Linked DNA regions of Arabidopsis thaliana. The protein of the gene in region 1 interacts with the protein of each later gene in a pairwise test. Each region holds a gene or a part of one and is shown in the gene's direction. Other genes may lie near its edges.

Region 1 (7,572 bases):
ACATAGAAAATATTAAGATTTTTTTGATATTTTAGTTATTTTTGTGTATTTTTAGATATATTCGAGCAAAACTACTCGTGTTGTTTTGGGAGTTTTTGAAATTTTTAAGTAATTTAATAGATTTGCACACACAATTTGATATTTCAATATATAAATAAACTCGAACCCGAACCCGAACCCAAACCGAACCCGACCCGAAATCTTAAATTACCCGAATGGGTCCTAAACTTCTAAACTCGAAAACCCAAACCCGAAATACCCGACCCGAATACCCAAACGCCTAGGACTAATAATTAATAGAAAAACAGAAATCCACAAAAATATTTAGAAACCAAGCATTGTTGAAAATATATTTCTATATATGCCGTAATCTTGTAAGTTAATTTTAACATCATGCAAATATTAAATGAGTTAAAATTAATAAATGAAAATCATTGAAAAGTTAAATCCTATAATCTAAGCTATTTTTCTCAAAATGTTCTATTTTCACTTATGATTACATGAGTTAAAGACAAATTTGTTAATTTTCCTTTTATTGAATAAATGTTAATTGTTTATAAATATATAAACATATAAATTAGTATATGTAAATTTGTTTATTTTTTAAGATTTTCTATTCTTTTTAGAAAATAAAAAAGTTAAATTTTAAATGACACATGTAAACATCTGATCGTTTGACTTGACACGTGGCACGATCGTATGAGTTAGCAACTTTGAAAACCATACTTTATATAATAAAATATGTTAATGATTGAAGAATGATTTTTTTTCAAGAAGTTTAAAAGCAAAAAGAGAAAAAAGTTACTGAAAGAAAAGAAGAAAGAAGAATTAGAAAATCTAGAACACTCATTCAAATAACATTTTTACCTCAATCCTATTGATCTATCGTGGCTATTCTCGATTTTTTGAATATTACAATCCCACGATTTTCTAATCTCACCAAACATAACATTGTCCATAATTATCATGCAATTTAAATAAGTTTATATAATTGTATCATTTTATAAGTTTTTATTACGCTAAATTAGTTTGATCTTATTAGTCTTTTTTCTTTTTTTGTAAAAATGTTTTTTTATTACTTATGTTTGTAGTTTCTATCAGGCCCAGTTTAAGGCATGTATTCAAGATGCAAAAACACCAATTTTTTCCTTTTCTCAAATTTTCTCAAAAGGAGTCCATATTTTTTAATTTCTATATAAAATTTGTTTGTTAAAAAATTTGAACACAAAGTCAAATATAATTTTGAAACGGCCCGTTTCTACTATATGAATTCATATATTTCTATTAAAAAACTACTTTTTCGAAATATCTACATATTAGTTTTACTAATTTATCACCGATCGAAATCAGTCGATAACCTTTTTTTTATCTCCATTTTCTATCCCCAACCGAATTGGCTCAAGCTATACACAATGCCACACATATATATTTTAAGCATGAAATTTCCGGTAAAACAGTTCCATGTGTCGTGAGTTTACTTAAAAAGTAGAGACGTGTTTTGTCTGTCATGAAATTGAAATGTCAACACATAAATGTAAGGTTTTTTAGATAACAAATCAATCATTGTATAAACCACGAAATGTGGCATTTTTTTGTCGTCTAAACTATTTCTCTTATAATAGTGGAGGACACATGGGGGACCAAATTTTCTATAATAGCATATACATTATTAGTCTGATGGTTGACAATTCGTAGATATAAAATTGATATCCCATATGCGTTTAAATCCGATCTACACATTTAGTTGGAAGGTAAAAAAAAAAACAGTTTAGTCATGTAATGCGTTTAAAAAAAAAAGATCACTTGTGTTTAATAGAAACCATAATCCCAAAAATATTTAACTTTTCATTTATATTAGAAAAATCAATCATCTGCTACATAAGATAAGAGATATAATAAATACATGGTAACACATACCAAATAAAATAAAGAAAATCAGCTATCTGGCGTATATAAATTGCATGACTACATATACGAAATGTATGACGTTATGTAATTAACATCATAAACAAAGAATTTAAGGTTAACCGATCAACTGATTGTGGCGTTGACCAACAAAAATATTCAAAAATAAACTTTTAATTTATTTTTAATATATTAAAAACTATGATATGTCTTGTAACTGTTAATTTAGTTTTAATGTTTTAAAAACTATGATGTGGTCTGCTACACTTCAGATAGCTGACGAATTTTTTTTTATATATATTACACCTACAATATTAACATAATTATATGTTTAGTCCAAATAGACCGAACAACAATTCACAAAATTGAAACTGAAATCGGATATGAATTGGGTAAAAAAAAGATTCTAAATAATTTTCTGATAAAAAACAAAGAAACTATATCACTCCAAATCTCTTGACCATAGTGTTTGTTCCATTCCATCGTCACCATAGTTTAGACTTTAAATTCAGTTTCACTTTGACTAATTTTAGATAAATTAACATATTAAACGGAATCAACAACTTCCCTCTCTCCCTTGGCGACTACAGAGGCGACCAACAAAACCAGTTTCCTGTTTCATTTTTTTTAACAGGCTGCCGGCATTTGCCGGTAGTTTTTTTGCTTTTCTACTCCTTTCTTCTTTTGTTTTTAATATTGTGATGGGAGATATTCCCCTTAATTGGATTTCTGCTCGTCCTATCTTCTCCTTTCGAATGGTGACGGTGTTTATTGTCATGTTTAGAACAGAGACATACAATTACCAGTTTCATGTAAACCCGTTGCTATATTCGAAATCAGAAAAAATTCATCCCACCAATGTCTCTTTACCCATGTCATGTCGATTCATTTGAATCATGGTGTATTTCCTTATCTAAAGTTTGTTTTCGGTGGTTTCTCTCACCGACGTGATCTCCGGTTTTCAACCGATGAAGTTTCTTCAAATCTATGGTTTGGAGAAGTCATTTGGGTATTTGATCCAGGAATCAATAGACAAATTCTTTTGAGTGAAGGAATTGGCATCGACAATAATTTCCTCTTCTCAAACACATGGTCCGATGATGGCGATGTACTCGCTGTCCAACGATCCGTTTATTCATGTTCATGGTCTAATGATGGTGATGTACTCGCTGTCAAACGATCTATTTATTCGGATTCTATGGAAAAAAGTAATCATGGTCACTAACCGGCGACGATGGGTAGAGTGTTATAAAATACATGATCGAGATCCATTTCAAGCAACATATCCGTGTGTTCGTTTAATCAAAGTGATGCAGAAAGCATTTGGGAGTTTCATCTATAAGATGTTAGCCTTTTACGAGTATATGACGAGGGGACTTAACAGATTTCATCTGTTGCTTGTAAGGCTTCCGTTTGGAAAGCAGGGTCATTTCCATTTTTTTATCAAAATTGTACAATTTCTTTTATTTTATTCGTATTTGAGTGGTTTCATGTATCATGTATTATATAATATTTTTATAATATAATATAATTGATTCGGTGTTAAAAAAAAAAAAACATATTAAACGGAAATTGCGAACGTTAATGGAAAAGAATATATTTTATTATTATTATAAATGCTGTTTGGTACAGGTGGCTTACAAAAATCCAAAGTGCCGTAACTTATTAGCTTCTCTTTCATTTCAAGTCAAAAAGTCCAAACCTCTGCAGATTTTATTCCTAAACCCGACCATGGAAGAATCATCAAACCAACAAATCCTCAACTCCGAGACCCGACCCGACCCGATTCAAAAACCACCGGAATCACCAGCCACCAAACTCTCATTCCCGAGACTCTTCCTCTGGTTTGATCAATCAAATCGCATCAAAACTCTGCTCTCATGGTCCATCTTCTTCCTCCTCGCCGTCATCGTCCCAATGATCTCACACTTCGTGCTAATCTGCGCCGATTGCGATTTCAAACACCGTCGTCCTTACGACGGTTTAGTGCAGCTTTCGTTATCGATCTTCGCCGGAATCTCGTTCGTTAGTCTCTCAGATTGGTCCAAGAAATATGGAATCCGAAGGTTTCTCTTCTTCGATAAGCTTAAAGATGTTAGCGATAAAGTTAGGATCGGATACGAAGCTAAAATCCAGGTAAATTAAACGTATCGACTAATTATAGTATTAGTAATCTAATTTCATGATTAAGAATCGTAATTTTTGGGATTAAAATTGGTAACTAGTGGAATAAGAAGCGATTGTAAAGAACCGGTTATTTCAGTTTTCTTTCAAAATCGGTTCATCAGTCGGTTCAATTTGGAGAGATTGAATCATATTTGGTTTACGTCTCGGTTTCGGTACGCCTAAACCGATCAATTGCCTAAAAATCAAAACTATACCGAAAATAAACCGATTTCTACCCAAAACATATATTAATCCCAACCAAATTAACATATTTTACCCTACTTTATCAGATTTTAACTGGGAAAACCCAAAAAATCGGTTCAATTCGGAGAATTTCATTAACCGAAATACTGAGATAACCGACTCAGTTTGGTTTGGTTAACTGAACTCGCAGGCCTAGAACTTTAAGTTTTGACCTGCCATTGAATCTTAGGCTCAAATCTTGATGTTTTTTTAATCCCAACCAATTTAACCGATTTTACCCGATTTTAACCGGGGAAAATCGGTTCGATTCGGAGAATTTCATTAACCGAAATACCGAGATAACCGAGACATTGACCGAACTCGCAGGCCTAGAACTTTAAGTCTTGACCGTGCCATTGCATCTTAGGCTCGAATCCTGATGTTTTTGAAAGTCTCCTCTGTTTTATTGTTGCAGAGATCAATGAAGCTACTAGCTATCTTTGTCCTTCCATCGACAACGCTTCAAGCTATCTATCGCATTTGGTGGTATGCTTCAGGCTTTAACCAAATCCCTTACATTATAAACCCAACGCTGAGCCATGTCTTAGCCTGCACACTCCAGCTCTCTTCTTGGCTCTACCGTACATCACTCTTCATCATTGCTTGTATCCTCTACCAAAACATCTGCCACCTCCAGGTCCTCCGTCTTGATGAATTCGCACGCTGCTTCGCCTCTGAGATCAAAGATTTCAGTTCCATACTCGCCGAGCATCTCAAAATCCGTCGTGAACTGAAGATTGTCAGTCACCGGTTCAGACGATTCATTCTTTTGTCATTGTTTTTCGTCACTGCCACTCAGTTCATGGCATTGCTGACTACCATCAGAGCTAGTGTTCCCTTTAATATCTACGAAGTTGGCGAGCTCGCGGTAAGATTTCCTCTTCACTTTCATATAGGGATGCAAGTTTTTGAAACATTATATTGATCAATGTCTCTGTTTCTTACAGTTATGCTCCACAAGCTTGGTGTCAGGACTATTCATATGCTTGAAAAGTGCAACACAAATGACTCACAAAGCTCAATCAGTAACGAGCATCGCCACAAAGTGGAACGTGTGCGCGTCTTTAGATACATTTGATGTTCTTTATGACGGAGAGACTCCTAAATGTCCAACAACTACACAACATTCCCAGATTTTATCGCGTCGTCGTAATGTTGTTCAATCGTCTGATGATGATGAAGAAGGAGAAGGAGATGACAATGATCTTGAGATACATCCAATCTTTGCCCGCGCCATTTCTTCTCAGAAACGTCAAGCTCTAGGTAAATAAAATCTTGAATTAGACTATGATTGGAATAAATCATTTTCACCTTTTTAACTGATTTGGTTTCTCTATTGTGTATATATTTAGTGACCTATCTAGAGAACAACAGAGCAGGGATCACTGTTTACGGATTCTTGGTGGATAAAACATGGTTGCGTATGATCTTCAGCATCGAACTTGCTCTTCTTCTATGGCTGCTCAAAAAGACAATCAGTAATTTTATATGTTTCTACTCTGAATCCATATTTTCATTTTTCATCACTTTCCTCTTGTAACCGATAACATTCTTCATGTTTTTGGTTTTTGGCAGTGAACATAACATGAAGACAGAATCAGTGTCACACAACACACACGAAGAGATTGGTACTAAGATGTTTTTATTTCAACAATGGCGATATAACAGATTCTTTTTGTAGATCTTCTATATATACAAATATAAAACGTGTGTATGTAAATCAATGTTTGATCCTTTTTGAGTTATATATATGTATCCAGATCATATTTATTGATTGTGTGTAAATACTGATTTTTGAAACCTATGTTTGGTCTCATTGATGAATCCGGGCGTGAAATGTATGATTATGGTTTTGTGATATTCTCGTAAATTGTGTGATAAAACTTTACGATTAACACAAATTATTTAGATACTGTTGAGATTAGATAAATACTACTATTATTATTTTTGTCACTTACTTCCTAAGTATCTTATTTTCCAATTAACTAAAACTTATCCTATTATCTAAATTTAACTTTCTCTTCAAGCAACTCTTGTATATATACGTTGGTTCTCTTCAGTTCATTGTAAGTATCACAACACAATAAGAAGTCTATTTTATTACTCTCTCGTCACTTTTTTTCTTTATTATTTTATTACTTCTATAATATTATATTATATTAGAATATATAATATAAAAAGTTGAAAACACACAACAAATTTGAATATATTATTTAAAAATTAAGGTCCAAAATCTAATAAAAGTTCCGATTTTGTTAGCCAAATTACTCATTTTAACTTCCCTTCAATATCACTTTGTTACGCAAACGACTCGACAACCGTTCTCTCTCCCAAGCGATCTGCCATTGAAGGCAACTTCACAAAACTTCATCACTTTGGCCGGCGTCGGTCTCTCTAGCGTCGGCTATTCTCGTGTTTGTTATTGCTTTTCTCTAATTTCTGCAAAGTTTTCAGTTTCTTGTGGTAAATAACGGCAAACCGAAAATCTCAAATTTATGTTCTTTGCCACATCGTGACGGTGGTACATCATTACTATCGATTGTGATTCATTCTTCAATCTGGAAAGCCTATCAATTCAACTTGATTTCACGGATAAATGCATCCATTTGTCGATGTTTCTGATCGTGTGTTATATCGATTCTTTTGAATTTTGATTGTCCTTGTATAAGGTTTGTATACGGTGGTCTCTCACACCGGCATTATCTCCAGTTATCAACCGATGAATTTTCTCTGCAATGTGGAGTTATCATTTGGGTTTTCGATCCCGGAATCAATGGAGTAACCTTGTCGCTTGAAGGCATTCACATGTTTCGAATTGGGTATGGCTTTCGATCTAAGATTAGATTATTACTTATCTTCAGTCTTAATCTGTTTAGAGTTGGGACAACCTATTTTTATCTCGAAGGCGAAGGCTTCCTCTTTTCGATGACACGATCCATTGATGATGATGTTATCTCTTTCGCTTGGTCGGAAAGTTTAGGTTCTATGAGAAGAGAAACCATGGTCACTAAACAGCAAAGATGCGAACGACATTTCAGAAGTCATGTTTCAAAACCATATCTAACAACATATCAGATTTTTTACAGTAATGCAGAAAGCATTTAGGAGTTTCATCTATAAGATGTTAGCCTTAGTCTCTTGCGAGTGTATGAAGAGGGGACTTAAAAGATTTATTATGTTGCCTGTAAGGCTTCCGTTCGGAAAGCAGGGTCATTTCCACTTCTTCATCGAAATTGTGTTCAATTTCCTTTATTTGTT
Region 2 (6,945 bases), on another chromosome or scaffold:
AATAGTCTGTCAGATAATATTGATCCAATAAAACCATGCACATGTCAGTTTTCCCAAAATATTTACATGTGTAGTAACAACTTTTGTAATTAAAAACGTCACCAAATGAAACGTTAATAATGACGAATACTTTACCACATATTTGTTCTCGATGGAGAGGAGATAACTATGGTCCCATGAAGAAGGTTGATAGTTGCCCGAGCGTCGACGGAGGTCAAGAGGATTAGCATCCGGCATCGTTTTTGTCATGGATTTGGATATGAAACGACGAGGACGTTGAAGACGAAAATTATGGATACATGCATTTTGGTAAATAGGAGCTGAACCTATACACAAAGTAGCCATTGAATTAGTATAAGATTCTCTTCTTTCTGGCTGAATATATTGGAGAACACATACGTTTATAACTTTATATAGACAGAGTCAGAATGATGACTTAGAACACTATTTCGGTACATGATTTTGTTTCTGTTTTTTTTTTTTTTCAATAGGTTGTCCAATTTGGTTTAACTTGAAGTTTATTTTTGTGTATGTGCCAACTACAATATCTTATTTACCAAATTTATTTCTATTTTCACCATATAAAATTATAAATCATAGTCAATTATTTAAAGATATCTATTATTATATCTTTATTTACAAGATTACCAGATAAATAGTTATTTTTCAAGTATATTCAATTAAATAGTGTGACAAACTTTACCCAATTTTGCTGCATGTCAATACTCTTTTCGCAATGTCTAATATCCACTTTTTGTAACTGAAATTTATCTAATTAAAATCTTCTACATGATTAAATATAGAAGTTATAAAAACTGCGTACAAAGATTAAGTGATGGAGACAGTTCAAGTTTGATTACAAGACAGTTCAATCTGATGGCTATGAGTTTTGTTGGCAGACATGCCAAAAAAAATTAGGTTGTCGTCGATTTCATTTGTTCTTTAGGAGAAAAACATTGATAATCGAAGAAAAAAAGTTTGTAACTCCGTTTTAATGATTCAAATAACTTATATGTGTAGAGGATTTTGAAAAAACAATTTCCATATTATTTTAATACGAATTTACGTGTTGGTTTTTAAATGTTGTAGAGAGATATAATTAAATAATATAGAAGTAAACTTATTTGATTCAACTTAATAAAAAAAGTTAGTTTGAAAAAAAGGTTATGTGATTCTCTTGTTTTGTGATCGTAATGTACACAAAACGGTTTAAGTATTTTTGCAAACAATATCTATGATTGATGAGATATATCAGTGATTAACTAATAAAAGTGAGAAAAAGAACAATATTTGGATTCACAGTTCACACATAATGGTTTAATTCTTTTATTAATTTTTTTTTTTTTTCTAAACAACCAGAATCATACTTCAATCAATTCAAAAACTCTTTTCAATTTACTCATTTCAGAACTATGTTATCCTATTGTAAAAAATATAGTTCTAATGTATACTCAATAAGCCGTATGAAGGAAAATTATAGGCTTTATTCTCAAAATCACGCTATTGTATTTTTAAATTTGATAAAATTCATCAAAAAAAATTTAACAATATAGTCTACGCTACTGTGTTTTATATTTGATAAAATTCATCAAAAATTTTAGCAAAAATGAAAAGCAAACAAATAAAAACTAACTAACTTACTTTCATCCCAATGTAGTAGAAATTCATGACATATGAAGAATCATTAAAGACCTTTTAGATCCCTTTGAATTTGGCAGGAATTCGAAGCCACATCGTACATTTGATATCTCCAATATATCACGAATCGTCTAGTTTTTTTGTGGATTAGTTTGGATATGTCTTGTTAGGATATGTATTATCTTTTCCTTTTTCAATAAACCCTACTGAATCTAGGGTTATGATTCCACAAAAAGATCTATAAGTTTTTTCTACTCCAAAGACAATTGGTTTTGGCTCATGGGATTCTTCCCATTAGAGAGTATCATATGTATTCTGAAGTGAGTAAACAACTTTAGAAGATGGCAAACAATTTTAATGTATTGAAAAACAATATTTAATCGCTTTAACCATTTTTTGTTTCTCCAAACGAGTTTTTATTTTTGCGCTAACTAATAAAAACTTATTTAGATGAACAATGAATCTTAATATTGCTATATTAAAAACCATTAAAAGAATACATACGTATAAAAGAAATATCTCTTATATTATAAGCATGTGATATTTTTGTACAGACCATAACAACATAAATAATTATATAGAATCCCAAGAAATTGGATTACACGTATACACATTACATACAACAGAAATTTAAATGTATCTCGATACATTTTTATTTTTTTAAAAGGTATAATTTCTTCAATAATTTACATATAGAGAAATAAGTCAGTTCTCTTTGTATTTGGTTCTTTCTTGATTGAATGAATACAAGTATTTTGCACACAAAAAAAAAAGAGAAATAACGTAGAAGAAATAAATTATGTTTTGGTCCACACTTAAATTATATGATAAGATATTCTAATGAGATTAGAAAACTATCTACATGAATAAATCATACGTTCCACAATAATTAAATGAAAATAAATAATAAAATTAACCAAAATAGTTGAAATTGAATCTTGCCTACATGATTCAATGTTCTTTTAATTTTGAATTTATTTATTTATTTAACTAAGCCTCTAGATATAAAGCAAAGTTATATAACCATGATTTTGGGGTTGTTAAAAGAAGTTGACGAAAATTGAGGAATGTCGAATAATAATGATGAAAAAGATATTTGGCTTAGCACCCATAATAATGATGTGACTATCCAATTTCAGTGTCTCACCGAAACGGCGTTTTATAAGGCCGTGGGCCAATGGCCTGTTTAAAGCCAACTGTAATGTGTAATTCGATTCAATTAAAACGACGTCGTTGCTTTCAAATTTAGATAACCAATACGCTGCCGTTTTAGCAAGTCTCTCTCAGATAAATAAAAAAAATTCTCCGACTAAACGGTGGATAATGCAGTGAAGGGACGACGATGATTCTGATAACCTCACCGACGTTGACATATCTCCGTCACCGTCTCCACAGTTCCCAAATCAAATCGCCACAAATTCGCCGCCATTTTCTTCGGAGTAGAGAAATCTCCACAGTCGATCGCTGCTACAATCCATGGCAGTCTACGAATCGTTTCAAATTACGAACACGAGACAGTTCCTTCTTATGCTGTGCTCGCCGGAAACCGGAGACGGCGACGGTAGAGGTTGAAGATGATTCTATAAGGAGAATTGTTCGGTATCTTCTATGGACTAGTGAAGCTGTGTATATACTATGGCTCTTTCTTCTCCCTTACGCTCCTGTGAGTGATAATACCTTCAAAAATTCGTATTCATAGTTCCTGAGATTGAGACATTGATATATCTGTGTGAATGTTTCTAAGGTTTATGTAGAATCACCACATTGATTAATCTTGAAAGTATTTAGGATAATTTTAGGAATTGAGAACCATTTCAATTTCTCTGCTTGAATGTTTTGAGAATCTAGTAGGTTTGTTCTTTTTGAATCATACTCATAGTTCCTGATATAGCCATAGTTCTATGTGGCTACTAATTTATCTATGGATTATGTGAATGTTTGGAAGGTTTATGTAGCATCACATTGATGAATCTTCAAAAGTAATTTGGATTTTGGATGATTTTAGGAATGAGAACTTTTTCAATTTCTCTGCTTGAATGCTTTGAGAATCGAATAGTTTTGTTGTTATCTTCAACTTATTACTGAGATTTGCTCTTCTCTCTATAGATTATCATGATATGTGCTTGTGGTTAGCATTATCTTAGATTGTGTAATCTTGTATGGTTGCTTAATTAGAAAATAATCTCTATGATCAACAGGGAGATCCAGTTTGGGCAATTAGTTCAGAGACAGTGAATTCTCTTTTGGGACTTTCTCTGAATTTCTTCTTTGTCTTGCCTCTTACAAACGCCGGTATGTTCAGCCTTAAGATATATCGATTTCGTTTACCTGTTTGATCTTTGATGAAAGTTTCTTGCTTATGGACTTTGTGACAGAACAGCTGGTATTCACTTCTTACAAGCTCCTGTTCTTCACCCGGTTTGTACCTTTGAGCTGAACAGGTTTTTGTGTATTAGTGAAAGTAAATCGTTCTGAAATTGTTTTTTTTTTTTTAAATTCAACAGATGGCTGAAGGGTTATTCAACTTTGTAATAGCTTGGACACTCATGTTTGCTCCATTGCTATACACAGACCGAAAGAGAAATCGATACAAAAGCTCTCTTGACGTCTTATGGAGTCTCATGATGTTCCTTACAAACAGTAAATACAACTTTAGTTTTTATTTAAGAAGTTCAGTTTCTCTGGAAAGCAACCCTCTAAACTAGATTATTGGTTCTGTTGATCTCATGTTGCAAACAGCGTTTCTAATCCCATACATGGCTTTACGGCTCAATGACGCTGACCCAGATGATAAACCAAGCAAAAGGTCTCAACTTGGTGAAGTGATGACCAAAGGTGCACCAATAGTTGGTCTGACCGGAGCTACGGTGTGTCTGATATCAGCATTGTGGTCTCTCTACGGTCGAGCAGATGGTGATTTCGGTGGAATCATGGACAGATGGCAGTATCTGATTGGTTATTTGGGATCGGAGAGACTAGCTTACGCGTTTATATGGGATATATGTCTGTACACAATCTTTCAGCCATGGTTGATTGGAGAGAACCTGCAAAATGTGAAGAAGAACAAGATTGAATTGGTGAAGTATCTAAGGTTTGTTCCTGTTTTTGGTTTACTTGCATATCATTTGTTTCTCAATCTCGAAGATGAATCAATTTAATTTGTTAGTATACACACATATTGTCGTTGTACTTATAACAAATGTAATTATATTATGGAAATTTTGTTATGTCATTTTTAGAAAATTCTATCATTTGTATCGGTAATGTTTTTTCCACATTTGAATTTATATTTCACGAAGGAATAGTGAAAACTCTATAAAATTGGTAAATTGCAAGAAATGAATCGCAAAAGTAAAGTCCTGACCGAAACAGCATAAACGTCGTGGGCCAAAAGGCCCGTTAAAGCCCATTTAAGAAGGGTATGGTTCCAATTAAATAAAGACGTCGTCGTTTGCTCTCAATAAAGAAAAGAGACATTTCGCCATTAGATCCTCTTTTTTTTCTTCGTAGGTCGAACGAAATTTTGTGTTTCGTTGAGGAGAAAATTGAGCCGTGTTTGTGTTGAGGTAAGACCCAATTTCCGATTTGATTGTTGGTCTGTTTATCTTTTGATAGAAATGGTAATTTAGATTCGCCTAATTGATCATCTCCTGAGAATTGGGCTCTGGAAATTGATTTTACGATCTCGTTATAATTATGCTGTAATTTTGTTGTTGGTGTTGTTGAAGATGTCTATGATCGATGAGCCGTTGTACCCAATCGCCGTACTTATAGACGAGTTAAAAAACGATGATATTCAGCTAAGATTGAATTCCATCAGAAGGCTTTCTACGATCGCTCGTGCTCTTGGGGAAGAGAGGACTAGAAAGGAATTGATCCCTTTCCTTAGCGAAAACAATGACGATGATGATGAGGTTTTATTAGCAATGGCTGAAGAATTGGGTGTGTTTATTCCTTATGTTGGTGGTGTTGAGTATGCACATGTTCTTCTTCCACCTTTGGAAACTCTTTCGACTGTCGAAGAAACTTGTGTTAGGGAGAAAGCTGTTGAGTCGCTTTGTAGAGTTGGCTCTCAGATGAGGGAGAGTGACTTGGTTGATCATTTCATTTCGTTAGTTAAGCGACTTGCCGCTGGTGAGTGGTTCACAGCTAGAGTATCGGCTTGCGGTGTTTTCCATATTGCATACCCGAGCGCGCCGGATATGTTGAAGACTGAGTTAAGATCGTTGTATACTCAGCTTTGTCAGGATGATATGCCGATGGTAAGGAGAGCTGCAGCAACTAATCTTGGGAAATTTGCTGCTACGGTTGAATCAGCGCATTTGAAGACCGACGTTATGTCCATGTTTGAGGATCTTACTCAAGATGGTATTGAACACTGAGCGTTTATTTACTCTACAGCATATATATTTGTCGAATTTCATCTTACGTTTTTTTCATATCAGATCAAGATTCTGTTAGATTATTGGCCGTTGAGGGTTGTGCTGCTCTTGGGAAATTGTTGGAGCCTCAGGATTGTGTCCAACACATTCTTCCCGTGATTGTTAATTTCTCGCAGGTGATTATGTCTGTAGGCTTTTATGCTGATGATCTACATTTAAAAGAAATGCTTAATCTTTGTACTTTTTCACTGAGCAGGATAAGTCTTGGCGTGTGCGCTATATGGTTGCAAATCAACTCTACGAGCTTTGTGAAGCCGTGGGACCTGAGCCTACTAGGTAAGAACGTTTTGCATAAACCTAATGCAGCATGTTTTAATACCTTTGATGGGCTAATTTAATGTTCAATATAGAAATGCATATCATCCAATAGGCTTAAGGAACTTGATGATCCCATTTACTTCCTCTTGATACTATTTACTGTGTCTTCTATTTTAAGGACGGAGCTGGTGCCTGCATATGTGCGCCTACTTCGTGATAATGAAGCTGAAGTACGCATAGCAGCTGCCGGAAAAGTTACAAAGTTTTGTCGGATTCTAAACCCTGAAATTGCTATCCAGCACATTCTCCCCTGTGTGAAGGTACATGCTTAAGAGAATTCAATTGTTTTCCAAGTTCCTTACAGAAAATCAACGTATAGTTGTTGCATATTACTGATGATTCCTCTTAATGCTACCTGTAGGAGCTATCATCAGACTCTTCTCAGCATGTCAGATCTGCATTGGCCTCAGTTATAATGGGAATGGCTCCAGTCTTGGGTAAGGTAAGAGAGTTTGCAAACAGAGATGTGTTGGTTCATAATGCACAAATTCATTTTAGCATCTTAATGATTATGACTATGTCCAACTGTTTTTCGTCCTGATGTCTG
Region 3 (8,757 bases), on another chromosome or scaffold:
CGCAAGAACTATACACAAAGATGGTATTGAAATGTTGCAAAAAAATATTTGTATGGTTCTTTGTAACCTCGAGAAAATATTTCCTCCTTCTTTTTTTGATGTCATGGAGCACTTGCTAATTCACTTGCCACACGAAGCTAGTCTTGGAGGACCTGTGCAGTTTAGATGGATGTATTGTTTTGAACGATACATGGGACATCTAAAAAAAAAGGTGAAAAATAAGGCAAAAGTAGAAGGTTCGATCGTTGAGCAATACATCAATGAAGAAATTTCTACTTTTTGTACTTATTATTTTGATCGACACATCAAGACAAAAAATCGAGCAGGAGATCGACACTATGATGGTGGTAATCAAGAAGATACACATGAGTTTGATGGAGTTCCAGATATATTTTCTCAGGCAGGAAGAGACAGTGGGAAAGAAAGTGAGATATGGCTCCAAGATAAAGATTACCATATCGCACATAGATATATTTTGCGGAACTGCGATCAATTAAGACCATTTGAAAGGTATGACAAAATAATTTGGACATCTGTATGGATTTTGTTTTTTTTTGTAGAATTAGTAAAAGACATTGTAAATATTTTTCATGGTTATATATGTATATATAGGTTGTTTGATGAGAGCTTGATCGCGGCTAATCCTGGGATAAGTGAAAAAGATCTAAATGAGCTTAGAGAAAAGCAATATTCAAGCTGGTTAAAAAAATATGTAAGATATTTTTTTTTTATATGAGATAAATACTTGATAGCTTATAATATAGTATGTGTCTTTTTATATTGAATCAGGTGGAGGATACTTGGAAGGATAATTCATATCCAGAGTGGTTGTTGAGTATTGTTCATGGTCCAATGGTTAAAGTTACTTGTTGGCCAATGTATTTTTGTCGTGGATACATATTTCATACATATGATCATGGAAAGAACAAAAAGAATGCCAATTATGGAGTTTGTGTCAAAGGTACAACATCTTCTAGCTCAAATGAAGAAGCTGATTTCTATGGAATATTGAGAGAAATTTATGAGCTTCATTATCCTGGACATGTTGATCTCAAGGTCGTGGTCTTCAAGTGTGATTGGTATGATTCAAAAGTTGGGAGAGGTATACGAAGAAACAAGTCAGGGATTATTGATATTAATGCTAAAAGGCATTATGAAGAGTATGATCCTTTTGTTTTGGCTTCACAAGCAGATCAGGTATGTTATGTTCCATATCCACGGATGACTCAGCCGAGAAAAGATCAACAATGGGAAGCAGCAATTATGATACAACCGAGAGGGAAAGTATTGATAACAAAAATCTGGATTTCACTGCAATGCAGCATGATAACGATGATTCTATTGTTGAAGTTGATTCATTACAAATCGAGACACTATCATATCTAGATGCCCAACCAGAAGATCTTGATGATCCAGTAGTAGAAGCCGAAGATGGATCAGATGCTGAAGATGGAAATTCTGATATCGAATTAACTAGTGACGAATCCGAATAATTTTTTTTTTCATTTGGACTTTTTACAGCTTTTTTTGTATTATCAAAAACATTGTTTCCAAAACTGAAGAAGTTTTTTTATTTAATTTTTTGTTCACAAGTTTTTATTTTTGTATTAAAATTGGTAACACTTATGTCACAATCTATGACCAAACGCAAAAGTCACTAAAACAGTGACAAATTGTGTCATCGTTGTTACAAAATTCTCGTAACTATACATGACATAAATTCAGTCACAATTATCGTATAATTTAGTTACTATATTTGGTCGCAAATCCGTACTTATATTTATGACTATATAATTTGTAACAAATTTGACATAATTAGTGACAAACATTAGTTACATTCAATTAAGTCATAATATTATAACGAAATAGTAACGTTTTTATGACCAAATAAATACGTCACAATTTTGTATGAAAATGGTCACAATTTTCTGACGAAAATAATGACCGTAATTTTTTCGTAAGAATATCGATTTCTGACCAGACGCTCTTCAATATCCGTTAGTAGTTGTGACACTTGAATGTGGTTTTGGACATGTCACCAGAAACTTGTCTTCAAGTGGTCTAACTGGAACCATGGCTGCTGCGATTCAAAATCTTACGCAACTAGAAACTCTGTAAGTAAGCTTGAATAATATACATACCGTTGCGTTTAAAAAAGCTACTCTCCAGCGACCGTGTTTCCAGCACTCCAAATTCATTATTTTCTGTTTAATGGGCTGATAAAACCCATGTTTGGCCCATAACAATTATTTCTGTTATTATAGCAACGTTGAAAAATATACATACCGTTGCGTTTAAAACGCTACTCTCCAGCACTCCAAATCGCCAATCGCGTTCTCAAACAGTGCTAATCGCCGATGAAGAGGTCTCATTGTCATCGCCGTCCTTCTCACGACGGGAGATTTCGCTGCCGTATATGGCCGATTTATCTCCGGAGATTCCTCACATTCGTCCTCCTCCTCACAAAAGTTATTGGGCCGGCTCAAAGAGATGGAATCAAAATTCTCTCAGTTTCATGGCCGGAAGGTAATTTCTCAGTTTATGATGTAACTGAAAATCCTTTAAAAATTTGAACTTTATGATTTTAGATATCTGATAATGGCGTCTTTGTCTTGAAATTTGTTTCTTCATGTTGACCCACTTCTCTTTAGATAATAGTCATTGTTGATAAATGTGAATCCTCTGCTTTGTGATTAGAAGCTGTTCTTGTCGATGAAGACGTCAAAATGTGTATTAATTAGTGATAAATTATCCGATATGATTCAATCAAAGTCACTGACCACTAGAAAGTCAAATCTCTTGCTTTCTCTCTGTGTGAACATTTTTTAATGCGTTAAAAGAGTGGTGACTGTAAAACCCTCTATTGACATATTCTCTTAAAAACACAGAAGTTGCATATTATTTTTTCTAAATACAAGTTGCATATATTCTGACATTCTTGGGACAAATCAAATTTGTAATTGTAAAGTTGCAATAGAAAACACATTTACTCATTCGTTTCACTGACTCAGGACATCTTGCCATGTTGCCAGAGGCTTGGACTGTTTCTTGGGTTTATCTATTTATACGCTGTGTTTCTCTCAAACTCTGGCATTGGTAAGGTTTTGATATCTAAAAGCAATTATGGATAGTCCTTGTTGGCTTTTGCTGCTGCTATTAGGAGCTTTTGCCATTATTGGTTGTGTTCAAGCTCAGGATCAACAAGGTACCTAAATCTTAATGGTTTATATGTATATTACACTACTACTTCTTACTGATTCGAGTCTTAGTTATGTTTGTATCTGAGATGCTTTTGATTTTTCACTCTCTTAACAGAGTTTATCAGTTTGGATTGCGGGTTACCCATGACTGAACCGTCTTCTTATACTGAGTCAGTAACCGGACTACGGTTCTCGTCTGATGCTGAATTCATCCAGACTGGTGAAAGTGGTAAAATCCAGGCGAGTATGGAGAATGACTACCTTAAGCCGTACACGAGGCTGAGGTATTTTCCAGAGGAGAGAAGGAACTGCTATAGTTTGAGTGTTGACAAGAACAGGAAATATTTGATCAGGGCTAGGTTCATTTATGGGAATTACGATGGTCGTAACTCTAACCCGATATTTGAACTGCATCTAGGACCTAATCTGTGGGCAACTATAGATTTGCAAAAGTTTGTGAATGGTACAATGGAGGAGATCCTTCACACTCCAACATCAAACTCTTTGAACGTTTGTCTTGTTAAGACAGGGACAACTACACCCTTGATCTCAGCCTTGGAATTACGGCCATTAGGAAATAATTCTTATCTCACAGATGGTTCTTTGAATCTTTTCGTTCGGATATATCTCAACAAGACAGATGGCTTTCTTCGGTAAGTGTTTTTTTTTTGGTTAACAGTGATGGATTCTATATTCCTATACTCTTTATTTTTAACATTCCTATACTTATTCAAGGATAATACAACCTTTGTTCCACATAGGTACCCGGATGATATTTATGATCGCAGATGGCATAATTACTTTATGGTGGATGATTGGACCCAAATTTTCACCACTCTCGAAGTGACCAATGATAACAATTATGAACCACCAAAAAAGGCTCTTGCAGCGGCTGCCACGCCTTCTAATGCCAGCGCGCCATTGACAATCAGTTGGCCACCAGACAATCCTGGTGACCAATATTACTTGTACAGCCACTTCTCTGAGATACAAGATTTACAGACCAATGATACCAGAGAATTTGACATATTATGGGATGGAGCTGTTGTTGAAGAAGGTTTCATCCCTCCAAAGTTAGGGGTGACTACTATCCATAATCTTTCTCCAGTGACATGCAAAGGAGAAAATTGCATTTACCAGCTAATAAAAACCTCGAGGTCAACTCTTCCTTCTCTACTTAACGCTCTTGAAATCTACACAGTTATCCAATTTCCACGGTCGGAAACAAATGAAAATGATGGTATGTTACTTATCTTCATTGTTATGCAGATACAGTCTGTTTTTTTTTTTTAACTAGAGAAATCAACTTCACCTGCTAATTCTCACATCCTTGAGCTCTACATCAGTGGTTGCTGTTAAAAATATCGAAGCTGCCTATAAATTGAGTAGAATCAGGTGGCAAGGAGATCCTTGCGTCCCTCAAAAGTATGCGTGGGATGGTTTGAACTGTAGCAACAACACAGATGTTTCTAAACCTCCAAGAGTATTATCCTTGTAAGTCGTAAGATCCAAGATATGAACATGCACACTTTGACACTTATCTTCAAAATAAGTTAACTATCATGCTTTGGAATCACCAGAAATTTGTCTTCGAGCGGTTTAACTGGAATCATTGCGGCCGCAATTCAAAACCTTACACATTTAGAAAAACTGTAAGTATGGCCATAGTTAATATTGGTTTTGTTGATGGAGGAAAACCTAATGAGCTCTACTTTATTTTGGAAATAAACTTTTAGGGACTTGTCAAATAACACACTAACTGGAGTGGTGCCGGAATTTCTAGCCCAGATGAAATCGTTGGTGATCATGTAAGTTGCTCAGCATATTTTCGTTTACTTTCAGTTCTCCTTTGGTTCATGTGTCTGTATGCATGAAGATTGCTCTTCTTTAATAGAAACTTAAGCGGCAACAATCTTAGTGGTCCCCTTCCTCAAGGTCTTCGAAGAGAGGGACTAGAATTACTGTAAGAAACTTCCCACGTACTTTTTAATATTCCACAGTTATTTTCCACAGCCCTTTTGTGATTTGATGTTTTTAACAACACTCTTTTTCTTGCAGAGTTCAAGGCAACCCAAGGCTTTGTCTCTCTGGTTCCTGCACAGAAAAAAACTCGAAGAAGAAATTCCCGGTGGTGATTGTTGCATCAGTTGCTTCTGTGGCCATAATTGTTGCTGTGTTGGTTATTATTTTTGTTCTCAGTAAGAAAAAGTCATCTACTGTGGGAGGTAATTTGCAGGAGATCTCTCATCAAATCAAGAAACTGCAACAAATCGATGAATTCTTACATACCCTACTTTTTTTCTTTCTTATCTATAGCTCTACAACCTCCACTGAGTATGCCAATGGTTCATGATAATTCACCTGAACCATCAATCGAGACGAAAAAGAGAAGGTTTACTTATTCAGAGGTTATCAAAATGACGAATAATTTTCAAAGAGTTGTAGGGGAAGGAGGATTCGGTGTTGTTTGTCATGGTACTATAAATGGTTCTGAACAGGTGGCTGTTAAAGTTCTCTCTCAATCATCAAGTCAAGGATATAAGCATTTTAAGGCAGAGGTATGCATAATCTTCTTAAAAATATGACCATCTAACGCTTTCTCTTACTTTTATTTCCCATGAATGATTAGGTTGATCTTCTTCTACGAGTTCACCATACAAATTTGGTGAGTCTTGTTGGATATTGCGATGAAAGAGATCACTTGGCTCTCATCTATGAGTTTTTGCCCAAGGGAGACTTAAGACAACATCTATCTGGTAAACTTGAATTTCTTCATGATTCGAAAGTGTATATATGTTTCAACGTTCCCAAGGATCTAAAGAATCAAGTATTCAGGAAAAAGCGGTGGGTCCTTTATCAACTGGGGTAATCGTCTACGAATAGCTCTGGAGGCTGCACTAGGTTCGTAAGCTTATTAGCCAATATTGGCAGCTTAAAATGACTTTCCTTCTGGTGGACTAACAAATAATCATTCCTTTGAATAGGATTGGAATATCTACATTCTGGATGCACACCACCAATTGTACATAGAGATATAAAAACGACAAACATATTGCTGGACGAACAGTTAAAGGCCAAGCTTGCCGATTTCGGCCTTTCGAGATCTTTCCCTATTGGAGGTGAAACACATATTTCAACTGTGGTTGCTGGTACTCCTGGATACCTTGATCCTGAGTAAGTGTCGTTAGTTACCATTACAATGTGCTGAAAGTGAGTTGTCATTTTGCACTTTATATATTGGTTAGAGAGTATAACCATGTACTTTTGCCGTGCAGATATTACCAGACAACTCGACTGGGTGAGAAGAGCGATGTGTACAGCTTCGGAATTGTGTTATTGGAGATTATCACAAACCAACCTGTGATTGACCAGTCCCGTTCAAAGTCTCACATATCACAATGGGTTGGATTTGAGCTTACCCGAGGAGATATTACTAAGATCATGGATCCAAACCTGAACGGGGATTACGAATCTCGTTCTGTATGGAGAGTTCTTGAACTGGCAATGTCGTGTGCGAATCCTTCTTCTGTGAACCGACCAAACATGTCCCAAGTTGCTAATGAACTGAAAGAATGTCTTGTTTCTGAAAACTTGAGGGAAAATATGAATATGGACTCTCAGAATTCTCTTAAAGTGAGCATGAGCTTTGACACAGAGTTGTTTCCGAGGGCAAGGTAGTATGTGCTGCAGGTAACACAACCATGCTAATTAGTTGGGCTATTGGTCATGTTTGCTTTGATCATCCACATGCCAAGATCATATACCCTGTTACTTGGTGATGTTTTCATTATTTTATGTGTGCTTAGTGATGTTTTCATTCTTTGTATGTGTGGCTTGGATGCTAATAATCATTGACCGTAAAAGAGTATACCTCTTTGTGGTTCCATCATTAACAAACAAATGATTTTGGTTAAATATTTGTAAAATGGTTGGAAGAGTATTGATTTAAAACTGTCAAATAGTATATAAAATTAAAGAAACAGATTATGGATTGTGATTTCTCAACATACATTTATCTGTACTCTGAAATTATTAGGCTCACCATTCACTTAAGGCTATGTCAAATATAATTGATGTGATAGTTTATTGCTTAACGTGCTTCTGGGTCTGCTCCATATCTTCCATGATTGAGTTCATGATAGTGATGTTGGGACTTTGCTGTCCTCTTTTTCTTATTCATTTTGTTGAATAGAAAATGCATTTACTCATTTCTTTTGGCTTGGCAAAGTCTTTCTTTCGGCTTTTACATTTTCTTCCTAGCCAAATGGTTTTCTTGATTTTTCCTTGGAAGGTTAGAGAAGATGATTATATGAAGAATTCTCTTGGCCTTTTGTTCCTGCTAGTCTCCATCATTCATATTGTTCGAGCTCAAGACCAACAAGGTATCAGAAACCTTTTTTTTCCCTTTTAAACACATTCTTTTACAAACTTTTTGGTTCTCAGAAGTGCATTGTTTTAAAGAATAATCTTTATAAATGTCTGCCAACAGGATTCATCAGTTTGGATTGCGGACTCCCTGCGAATGAACTGTCTCCTTATGAAGAGAGTTTCACTGGACTGCGGTTCTCTTCGGATGAAAAGTTCATACGTAGTGGAAAAAACGGTCGAATCCGAGAAAATCCTCAGGGATACGCTAAGCCGTACGCTGAGATATTTTCCAGATGGAATAAGGAACTGCTACAATCTAAACGTTGAGAAGGGCAGGACACATTTGATTGTGGCTAGGTTTGTATATGGAAATTATGATGGTTTTGACCTTAAGCCAAAGTTTGATCTGTATCTTGGACCTAATCTATGGGCCACGGTGGATTTGCAAACAGAAGTTAATGGTACAGCGGAAGAGATCTTACACATCCCAACATCAAACTCTTTGCAGATTTGTCTTGTTAAGACTGGGGAAACTATACCGCTAATATCGGCTTTGGAATTATGGGAAATGGTTCTTATATCACTAAGTCTGGTTCCTTGAATCTTTTATCACGAACATATCTTAGCAAGTCAGGATCTGATCTACGGTAAGTTAACTTCAACTGATCATTGTTTGTTCTTTCTGCTCTGTTTCAATACAAGGGTTGTTTTCATTGACACTTAGAAAAGGTCATACATAAGGTTTTAAGGCAATCAATATGATCATTTTTTTTTGTTTTACTACTAAAACAACATTGTTTCCCACCCCCAGCTACATGAAAGATGTATATGATCGCACATGGGTATCATATGGAGCCAGTTTTCGGACGGGATGGACCCAGATTTATACCGCTCTTGAAGTGAACAATTCCAACAATTATGCTCCACCGAAAGATGCGCTAAGAAATGCTGCCACACCGACTAATGCCAGTGCACCATTGACGATTGAATGGCCTTCAGGAAGTCCCAGTCAGGAAGTCCCAGGGACCAATATTACTTGTACGCACACTTTGCTGAGATCCAAGACTTGCAGGCAAATGATACCAGAGAATTCAACATCCTATTTAACGGAGAAGTTTTTTCTGACCCTATCATTCCTAAGAAACTTGACATAACTAGTGTCCAAAGTGTGACCCCAAAAACTTGCCAA
Region 4 (7,553 bases), on another chromosome or scaffold:
CCCGTATACATAACTGTTCGGATACCAGCACATGTGAAAACACACTTGGAAGCTTCCATTGTCAGTGCCCATCTGGTTCTGATTTAAATACCACTACTATGAGCTGCATTGACACACCTAAAGAAGAGCCTAAGTACTTAGGATGGACTACTGTTCTTCTTGGTAAGCTCCCTTACTCGTTTTCGATGAATATGTTTTGTCGAACAACTCGGGTCTAATGATCTTTGTTTTTATGTCATGTGATCAGGAACCACCATCGGATTCTTAATCATCTTGCTTACCATTAGCTATATACAACAAAAAATGAGGCACCGAAAAAACACCGAGCTGCGACAACAATTCTTCGAGCAAAATGGTGGTGGCATGTTGATACAGCGACTCTCAGGAGCAGGGCCATCAAATGTGGATGTCAAAATCTTTACTGAAGAAGGCATGAAGGAAGCAACTGATGGTTATAATGAGAGCAGAATCCTAGGCCAGGGAGGACAAGGAACAGTCTACAAAGGGATATTGCAAGATAACTCCATTGTTGCTATAAAGAAAGCTCGACTTGGAGACCGTAGCCAAGTAGAGCAGTTCATCAACGAAGTGCTAGTGCTTTCACAAATAAACCACAGGAACGTGGTCAAACTCTTGGGCTGTTGTCTAGAGACTGAAGTTCCCTTGTTGGTCTATGAGTTCATTTCCAGTGGCACTCTTTTTGATCACTTGCACGGTTCTATGTTTGATTCTTCGCTTACATGGGAACACCGTCTGAGGATAGCCATAGAAGTTGCTGGAACTCTTGCATATCTTCACTCCTATGCTTCTATTCCAATCATCCACCGAGATGTCAAGACTGCTAACATTCTCCTCGATGAAAACTTAACTGCAAAAGTAGCTGATTTTGGTGCATCAAGGCTGATACCGATGGACCAAGAGCAGCTCACAACTATGGTTCAAGGAACTCTTGGCTATTTAGACCCTGAATACTACAATACAGGGCTTCTGAACGAAAAGAGCGATGTTTATAGCTTTGGGGTAGTCCTCATGGAACTGCTCTCAGGTGAAAAGGCATTATGCTTTGAACGGCCACAAAGCTCAAAACATCTAGTGAGTTACTTTGTTTCTGCCATGAAAGAAAATAGGTTGCATGAGATTATTGACGGTCAAGTTATGAACGAGTATAATCAGAGGGAGATCCAGGAATCTGCAAGAATTGCTGTTGAGTGTACAAGAATTATGGGAGAGGAAAGGCCAAGTATGAAAGAAGTAGCTGCAGAGTTAGAGGCCTTGAGAGTCAAAACAACCAAACATCAGTGGTCAGATCAATATCCCAAGGAGGTTGAGCATTTGCTTGGTGTTCAAATCTTATCGACGCAAGGTGATACCAGTAGCATTGGCTATGACAGCATCCAGAATGTAACAAGGTTGGACATTGAAACTGGCCGCTGATATTTATCAATCTTTTGTTTGTGAAAAAGTAAAGCCACTTATTTATTGCTTATGTCCTATATGTTTCCTAACACTTCAAAAAAAACAGAGTATCAAAACATGATATTCAAGAACATTTATGCTCGAGAGATCCGTTGTAGATCATCAATTATTCATTTTATAACTCCATTCGATTGGTAAGCTAACCAGTAGACGATTCGGTATGAGAAAAATTAAGAATTCATGAATCTACTAGCAGAGATATTGATATACTGTTGTGGTTGCAAAACAATAACTCGAATTTAAAGGGCTCAGTTGCTTAAAACATCCTATTTGATCCACAGCTTGACTCATATATTGTTTTGGTACTGGCATCTATAATTTAATACTGCGTTTTCTAAATTAACAAAATCATTCTTGCTGCATAAGATTGCTCTGGTTTTGAAGCCATCAAGTTTTCTTATTTTGTTAAAAATTTATGATCTTTAACCATAAGTAATATATATAGTGAAAACATGAGAAAATTTGGTGGATTCTAGAAAAGCACTCTCCGTCAACGTGATCGATATTATGATGAAATGATTACAAAGATGCAATTATATATATCCACGAGCAACAAGACGAAGACAAAAATGTAAACAAGTTAACATATGATTTTGGAATTAGATCAGTAATAAACAAACATATGCACAACTACATGAGAAGTAAAAACTAGTAAACGAGAAATCTCTAACTTAAGATGCGTGGTATGTACGTAACTCCAAAAGAACAACTTGACATTTTTTTTTTTTTTTTTTTTTTGAATGTAATGTTAAATTATATTCAAGAAAAATAACGTTTTTGATACAAGGCTTTGAAAGTATGAAAGAACAACTTGACTATTTGATAAACAACTTGACTCATATATTGCTCTGTTATTAAAATTTTAATACTGCGTTTTCTAAATTAAATTATCATTCTTGCTGCATAAGATTGTTGTGGTTTTGTAACCATCAAATTTTCCTTTTTTGTTAAAACTCTGATCTTTAGTAAATTGAGAAAGCTACCTCTACTATACCCTTAAAATCTCTAAGTCTGGTCTGTCAAAGATTATTTTAATCATCAAACAGTGTATTTTCAGTTTTTTCTCAAGATTTTCCCTCAGTTTCTTTGAATGAATCTGGTTTCTTTCGGTGAAAGAGTGCTGGTCGTAATTGAGTTTGGTTTGTAATATATTACTTAAGTGTCGTGTCTGTTAAGTTAAAGTAGTTATGTTTGTTGTGTCACAAGAAAGAAGAGTCATAACTCTTGACTTTTCATGTCTGTTGGTTTGTATTTAAGTTAATTGTTGTAAACCTTGTAAAACAGTTGTTGTATTTCACTTTCTCTATAATAGAAAGACAAGTTCTTCTCTTTATTGTTATGTTGACGATCAAACCAATTGTGATACAAAGTCTGATTCTCTTTCTCTGTTCTTAACTCTGTTCTGTTTCTAGAAGGAGATTCAGTTTCTAACAAAGTGGTGGATTTGCATGGAAATTTCTCATAGATAACCTCTTGAAGAGTAAGCAGCGACATGACACATGAGGCAAGAACTATTCAAATTCTTCGAAAACTTGTTGACATTTATAAACTCAACACACACACACACACAAAAAAACTACATATTTCTACTATTACGACAGCAGAAGAAAACAGAGCATGTTGTGATCATGATGAGTCTTATTCCTACATTGTCACTATAACGAGACTTTCATATATGAACAATAAATTGGAGTTTCCTGGAAAAATCAAGACAAGAAAGAAAGGACAGATAAAGAAGTTGACGCATTTATATTTTTCTAACGTCTAGTAGTCTGAATCTTTACTTTTCTTCACATTTGATTATTCAACAATGTCAAATCAGGGGTTACTTTTCAAGCTATAAGAAGCGAATAAGCGATGAGAGAAAACTCAAAGAGAAACAAGTTTAGAGAGAAAGAAAGAGAAAGGTAGAAGATGAAGTTCCAGGAGGGTGTGTTCTTGGTGGTTATTTTCTTCCTTGCATATACTCAGCTTGTGAAGGGGCAACATCAACCTCGCGAAGATTGTAAACTTAAATGTGGAAACGTCACAATAGAGTACCCTTTTGGTATTTCTACAGGTTGTTACTATCCCGGAGATGATAATTTCAATCTCACCTGTGTCGTGGAAGAGAAGCTACTACTCTTTGGCATCATTCAAGTGACCAATATTTCTCACAGTGGCCATGTAAGTGTACTGTTTGAACGATTCTCTGAATGCTACGAGCAGAAAAATGAGACTAATGGAACTGCCCTCGGGTATCAGCTGGGTAGTAGTTTCTCTCTCTCCTCCAACAACAAGTTTACTTTAGTAGGATGTAACGCTTTATCACTTTTGAGCACTTTTGGAAAGCAAAACTACTCAACTGGATGCTTGTCATTATGCAATTCTCAACCAGAGGCAAATGGAAGATGTAATGGTGTAGGTTGCTGCACAACAGAGGACTTCTCTGTCCCGTTCGATAGCGATACATTCCAATTTGGCTCAGTTCGCTTGAGAAACCAAGTTAATAATTCCTTAGATCTATTTAATACTTCGGTATATCAGTTTAATCCTTGCACCTACGCTTTTCTCGTTGAAGATGGTAAGTTTAACTTCGATTCTTCAAAAGATCTTAAGAATCTGAGGAATGTCACGAGGTTCCCTGTGGCACTAGATTGGTCTATTGGAAACCAGACATGTGAGCAAGCTGGAAGCACAAGAATATGCGGTAAGAACAGCTCATGTTACAATTCTACTACTAGAAACGGGTATATCTGCAAATGTAATGAAGGTTATGATGGGAATCCATACCGTTCAGAGGGTTGCAAAGGTACTTCATATTAATTTCTTTGCTTTCTTTCTTCTTTTGAGTGTTTATAATCTTCCTCATACGTTTTTGGTTGCATCTTGTGCACTTATTCCTTTGGTCAGACATCGATGAGTGTATTAGTGATACACATAACTGTTCGGATCCAAAAACCTGTAGAAACAGGGATGGAGGCTTCGATTGTAAGTGTCCATCTGGTTACGACTTAAACTCCAGTATGAGCTGCACGAGGCCCGAATACAAACGGACTCGAATTTTTCTTGGTAAACACTCTTCACTGGTTCTAGATTCTCTTTAAATCAACTCGCTCTAATCATCTATGCATGATGTTATCAGTAATCATAATCGGCGTCTTGGTCCTCCTGCTTGCTGCGATCTGTATACAACATGCAACGAAGCAAAGGAAGTATACCAAGCTCCGACGACAATTCTTTGAGCAAAATGGTGGTGGCATGTTGATACAGCGACTTTCAGGAGCAGGGTTGTCAAACATTGATTTCAAAATCTTTACTGAGGAAGGCATGAAAGAGGCAACTAATGGCTATGATGAGAGCAGAATCTTGGGCCAGGGAGGTCAAGGAACAGTCTACAAAGGGATATTGCCGGACAACACTATCGTTGCTATAAAGAAAGCTCGGCTTGCAGACAGTAGACAAGTAGATCAGTTCATCCACGAAGTGCTCGTGCTTTCACAAATTAACCACAGGAACGTGGTCAAGATCTTGGGTTGCTGTCTAGAGACTGAAGTCCCCTTGTTGGTCTATGAATTCATTACCAATGGCACCCTTTTCGATCACTTGCACGGTTCCATTTTTGATTCTTCTCTTACATGGGAACACCGCCTCAGAATAGCGATAGAAGTCGCTGGAACTCTTGCTTATCTTCACTCCTCTGCTTCTATTCCAATCATCCATCGCGATATCAAAACTGCAAATATTCTCTTGGATGAAAACTTAACTGCAAAAGTAGCCGACTTTGGCGCTTCTAAGCTTATACCAATGGATAAAGAGCAGCTCACAACTATGGTGCAAGGCACTCTAGGCTATTTAGACCCAGAATACTATACCACAGGGCTTCTGAACGAGAAGAGCGATGTGTATAGCTTTGGGGTAGTCCTCATGGAACTGCTCTCAGGTCAAAAGGCATTGTGCTTTGAACGGCCACAGGCTTCAAAACATTTGGTGAGTTACTTTGTTTCTGCCACGGAAGAGAATAGGTTGCATGAGATTATTGACGACCAAGTGTTGAACGAGGATAATCTGAAGGAGATCCAGGAAGCTGCAAGAATTGCTGCAGAGTGTACAAGGCTAATGGGAGAGGAAAGGCCAAGGATGAAAGAAGTAGCTGCAAAGCTAGAAGCCTTGAGGGTCGAGAAAACCAAACATAAGTGGTCGGATCAGTATCCTGAGGAGAATGAACACTTGATTGGTGGTCACATCTTGTCTGCACAAGGCGAAACCAGTAGCAGCATTGGCTATGATAGCATCAAAAATGTAGCAATATTGGACATTGAAACTGGCCGCTGATATTGCTCACAAAATCACATGTATCTCTTTTGTTTGTAAAAAAAGAAAACCACTTATTTGTTGCTTCATCAATATGCTTTGAGAGCTTGTTTGTTCATCATCAATAATCATGTTCATATTTTCCTTTACTTGGTATACTATGGTGCAAGGCACTCTAGGCTATTTAGACCCAGAATACTATACCACAGGGCTTCTGAACGAGAAGAGCGATGTGTATAGCTTTGGGGTAGTCCTCATGGAACTGCTCTCAGGTCAAAAGGCATTGTGCTTTGAACGGCCACAGGCTTCAAAACATTTGGTGAGTTACTTTGTTTCTGCCACGGAAGAGAATAGGTTGCATGAGATTATTGACGACCAAGTGTTGAACGAGGATAATCTGAAGGAGATCCAGGAAGCTGCAAGAATTGCTGCAGAGTGTACAAGGCTAATGGGAAAAGAAAGGCCAAGGATGAAAGAAGTAGCTGTAGAGCTAGAAACTTTGAGCGTCAAAACAACCAAACATAATTGGTCGGATCAGTATCGAGAGGAGAATTTACACTTGCTTGGTAGCAACATCGTGTCTTCCCAAGGCGATACCAATAGCCGTGGTTATGACAGCGTCAAGAATGTAGCATTGCTTGACATTGAAGCTGGCCGCTGATAAATTTTGTTTGTTAAAAAGTATATTGTTTAATTCTTTATTGTTTATCTCCTTTTGTCTTTATAAACATAACCAGAATATCAAAACATGACATTCAAAAACATTGATATCCTTGTAGATCATCCATATATACTCATGTTCACAATTCTCCTATATTTTTATATGCTAACCAGTAGCTGATTAGGTATTAGAAAAACTACCTAGAGTTCATAAATATGATTCCATACGACATTAATATATCATTGTGCTTAATTATAAAGAAAAACAAAACAACTCGAGAAGAAAAAACACTAGAATTTAAAGTAGGCGTCAAAAACAGAGGAGAGTAAGTATACTATGAATATGATCATCGAAATCTTCAGCACCTGGTCGAGTTCATCGTAGATACCGCTTCCTCAAACCAAACCATATGATTCTTTGTTAGTTGCTTGGTAAACTAAAAAAATAAAAGACTCATTTGGTGCAAACTTCATATTTGATCTACAGCTTGAGTCATCATGTTTCGTTACTCATCTACAACCCATCATTCTTGTTGCATAAGATTGCTTGATATTGTATATCACATCAAATCTCTTAATTTGTTTCTTGTTAAAATATATGATTTTTAGTAAGTGTTAGTCAGCAATCCTACGATTATTGGCAGGTTAGTCACCAATCAAAGCATGATCACTTGTTGTCTACTTCCATTTGATTACCCCAATTCATGTTTATTGACTTACTAATAATACCAAGCACGTATTCAGACTAAAATTATCTTAGAACCAACTTCAGTGGATGAAGATAAAAGTTGGGGAAAGTGCAGACTCAAATATTAAAGGAATCTCAATTCTCAGTTTTAACTTTTACTTGTATGTTTGGTAATGCTTTTACCTTTGGTTGCATGCTGCAAAAGTGATTTACTCTGTCCCAAGACTGAACTTCAACTTGTGTATATGATTCAATTAGACAAAGGGAGAGGAAAGTAGTGAGTTTTTGTCCAGCTCACTGACAATGTATCGATATGATGTCTTTAGACTTTGCTTTTTCGTGTAACTACTCAATTTATGCAATGATGAATCAGTTTTTGTCTTGTACCTGCGTTTAATAAAAAGAAGAAGAGTTTTACAAAAAACAAGAGTATTTT

The links.
Region 2: the proteins of AT4G03820 (region 1) and AT3G25805 interact in a protein complementation assay, tested with the Arabidopsis thaliana proteins (one large-scale study listed by BioGRID).
Region 3: the proteins of AT4G03820 (region 1) and AT5G59650 interact in a protein complementation assay, tested with the Arabidopsis thaliana proteins (one large-scale study listed by BioGRID).
Region 4: the proteins of AT4G03820 (region 1) and WAK3 interact in a protein complementation assay, tested with the Arabidopsis thaliana proteins (one large-scale study listed by BioGRID).

The regions. Positions count from the first base shown.
Region 1 is NC_003075.7:1,770,445-1,778,016, reverse strand, and holds AT4G03820 (transmembrane protein, putative (DUF3537)), read left to right. Parts: upstream 1-3,484; 5' UTR 3,485-3,489; coding exon 3,490-4,041; intron 4,042-4,729; coding exon 4,730-5,182; intron 5,183-5,261; coding exon 5,262-5,577; intron 5,578-5,666; coding exon 5,667-5,854; 3' UTR 5,855-5,889; coding exon of another isoform or gene 5,890-5,903; 3' UTR 5,904-6,173; downstream 6,174-7,572.
Region 2 is NC_003074.8:9,424,205-9,431,149, reverse strand, and holds AT3G25805 (uncharacterized protein), read left to right. Parts: upstream 1-2,872; 5' UTR 2,873-2,980; coding exon 2,981-3,301; intron 3,302-3,836; coding exon 3,837-3,930; intron 3,931-4,018; coding exon 4,019-4,056; intron 4,057-4,142; coding exon 4,143-4,278; intron 4,279-4,377; coding exon 4,378-4,796; 3' UTR 4,797-4,912; downstream 4,913-6,945. Other genes in the region: AT3G25810 (Terpenoid cyclases/Protein prenyltransferases superfamily protein), read right to left, coding at 136-345; PP2AA2 (protein phosphatase 2A subunit A2), read left to right, coding at 5,367-6,006, 6,084-6,196, 6,277-6,356, 6,517-6,658, 6,760-6,840.
Region 3 is NC_003076.8:24,028,223-24,036,979, forward strand, and holds AT5G59650 (Leucine-rich repeat protein kinase family protein), read left to right. Parts: upstream 1-3,123; coding exon 3,124-3,205; intron 3,206-3,315; coding exon 3,316-3,853; intron 3,854-3,961; coding exon 3,962-4,417; coding exon of another isoform or gene 4,418-4,440; intron 4,441-4,499; coding exon 4,500-4,694; intron 4,695-4,780; coding exon 4,781-4,852; intron 4,853-4,936; coding exon 4,937-5,008; intron 5,009-5,094; coding exon 5,095-5,163; intron 5,164-5,258; coding exon 5,259-5,425; intron 5,426-5,516; coding exon 5,517-5,758; intron 5,759-5,829; coding exon 5,830-5,956; intron 5,957-6,035; coding exon 6,036-6,101; intron 6,102-6,184; coding exon 6,185-6,374; intron 6,375-6,475; coding exon 6,476-6,878; downstream 6,879-8,757. Other genes in the region: AT5G59660 (Leucine-rich repeat protein kinase family protein), read left to right, coding at 7,465-7,582, 7,690-7,840, 7,926-8,029, 8,092-8,215, 8,380-8,606, 8,684-8,757. UniProt on the Arabidopsis thaliana protein: Required for accurate photosynthesis.
Region 4 is NC_003070.9:7,430,913-7,438,465, forward strand, and holds WAK3 (wall associated kinase 3), read left to right. Parts: upstream 1-3,322; 5' UTR 3,323-3,390; coding exon 3,391-4,267; intron 4,268-4,368; coding exon 4,369-4,527; intron 4,528-4,600; coding exon 4,601-5,790; 3' UTR 5,791-5,918; downstream 5,919-7,553. Other genes in the region: WAK5 (wall associated kinase 5), read left to right, coding at 1-162, 248-1,434; AT1G21245 (Protein kinase superfamily protein), read left to right, coding at 5,930-6,430. UniProt on the Arabidopsis thaliana protein: Serine/threonine-protein kinase that may function as a signaling receptor of extracellular matrix component. Binding to pectin may have significance in the control of cell expansion, morphogenesis and development.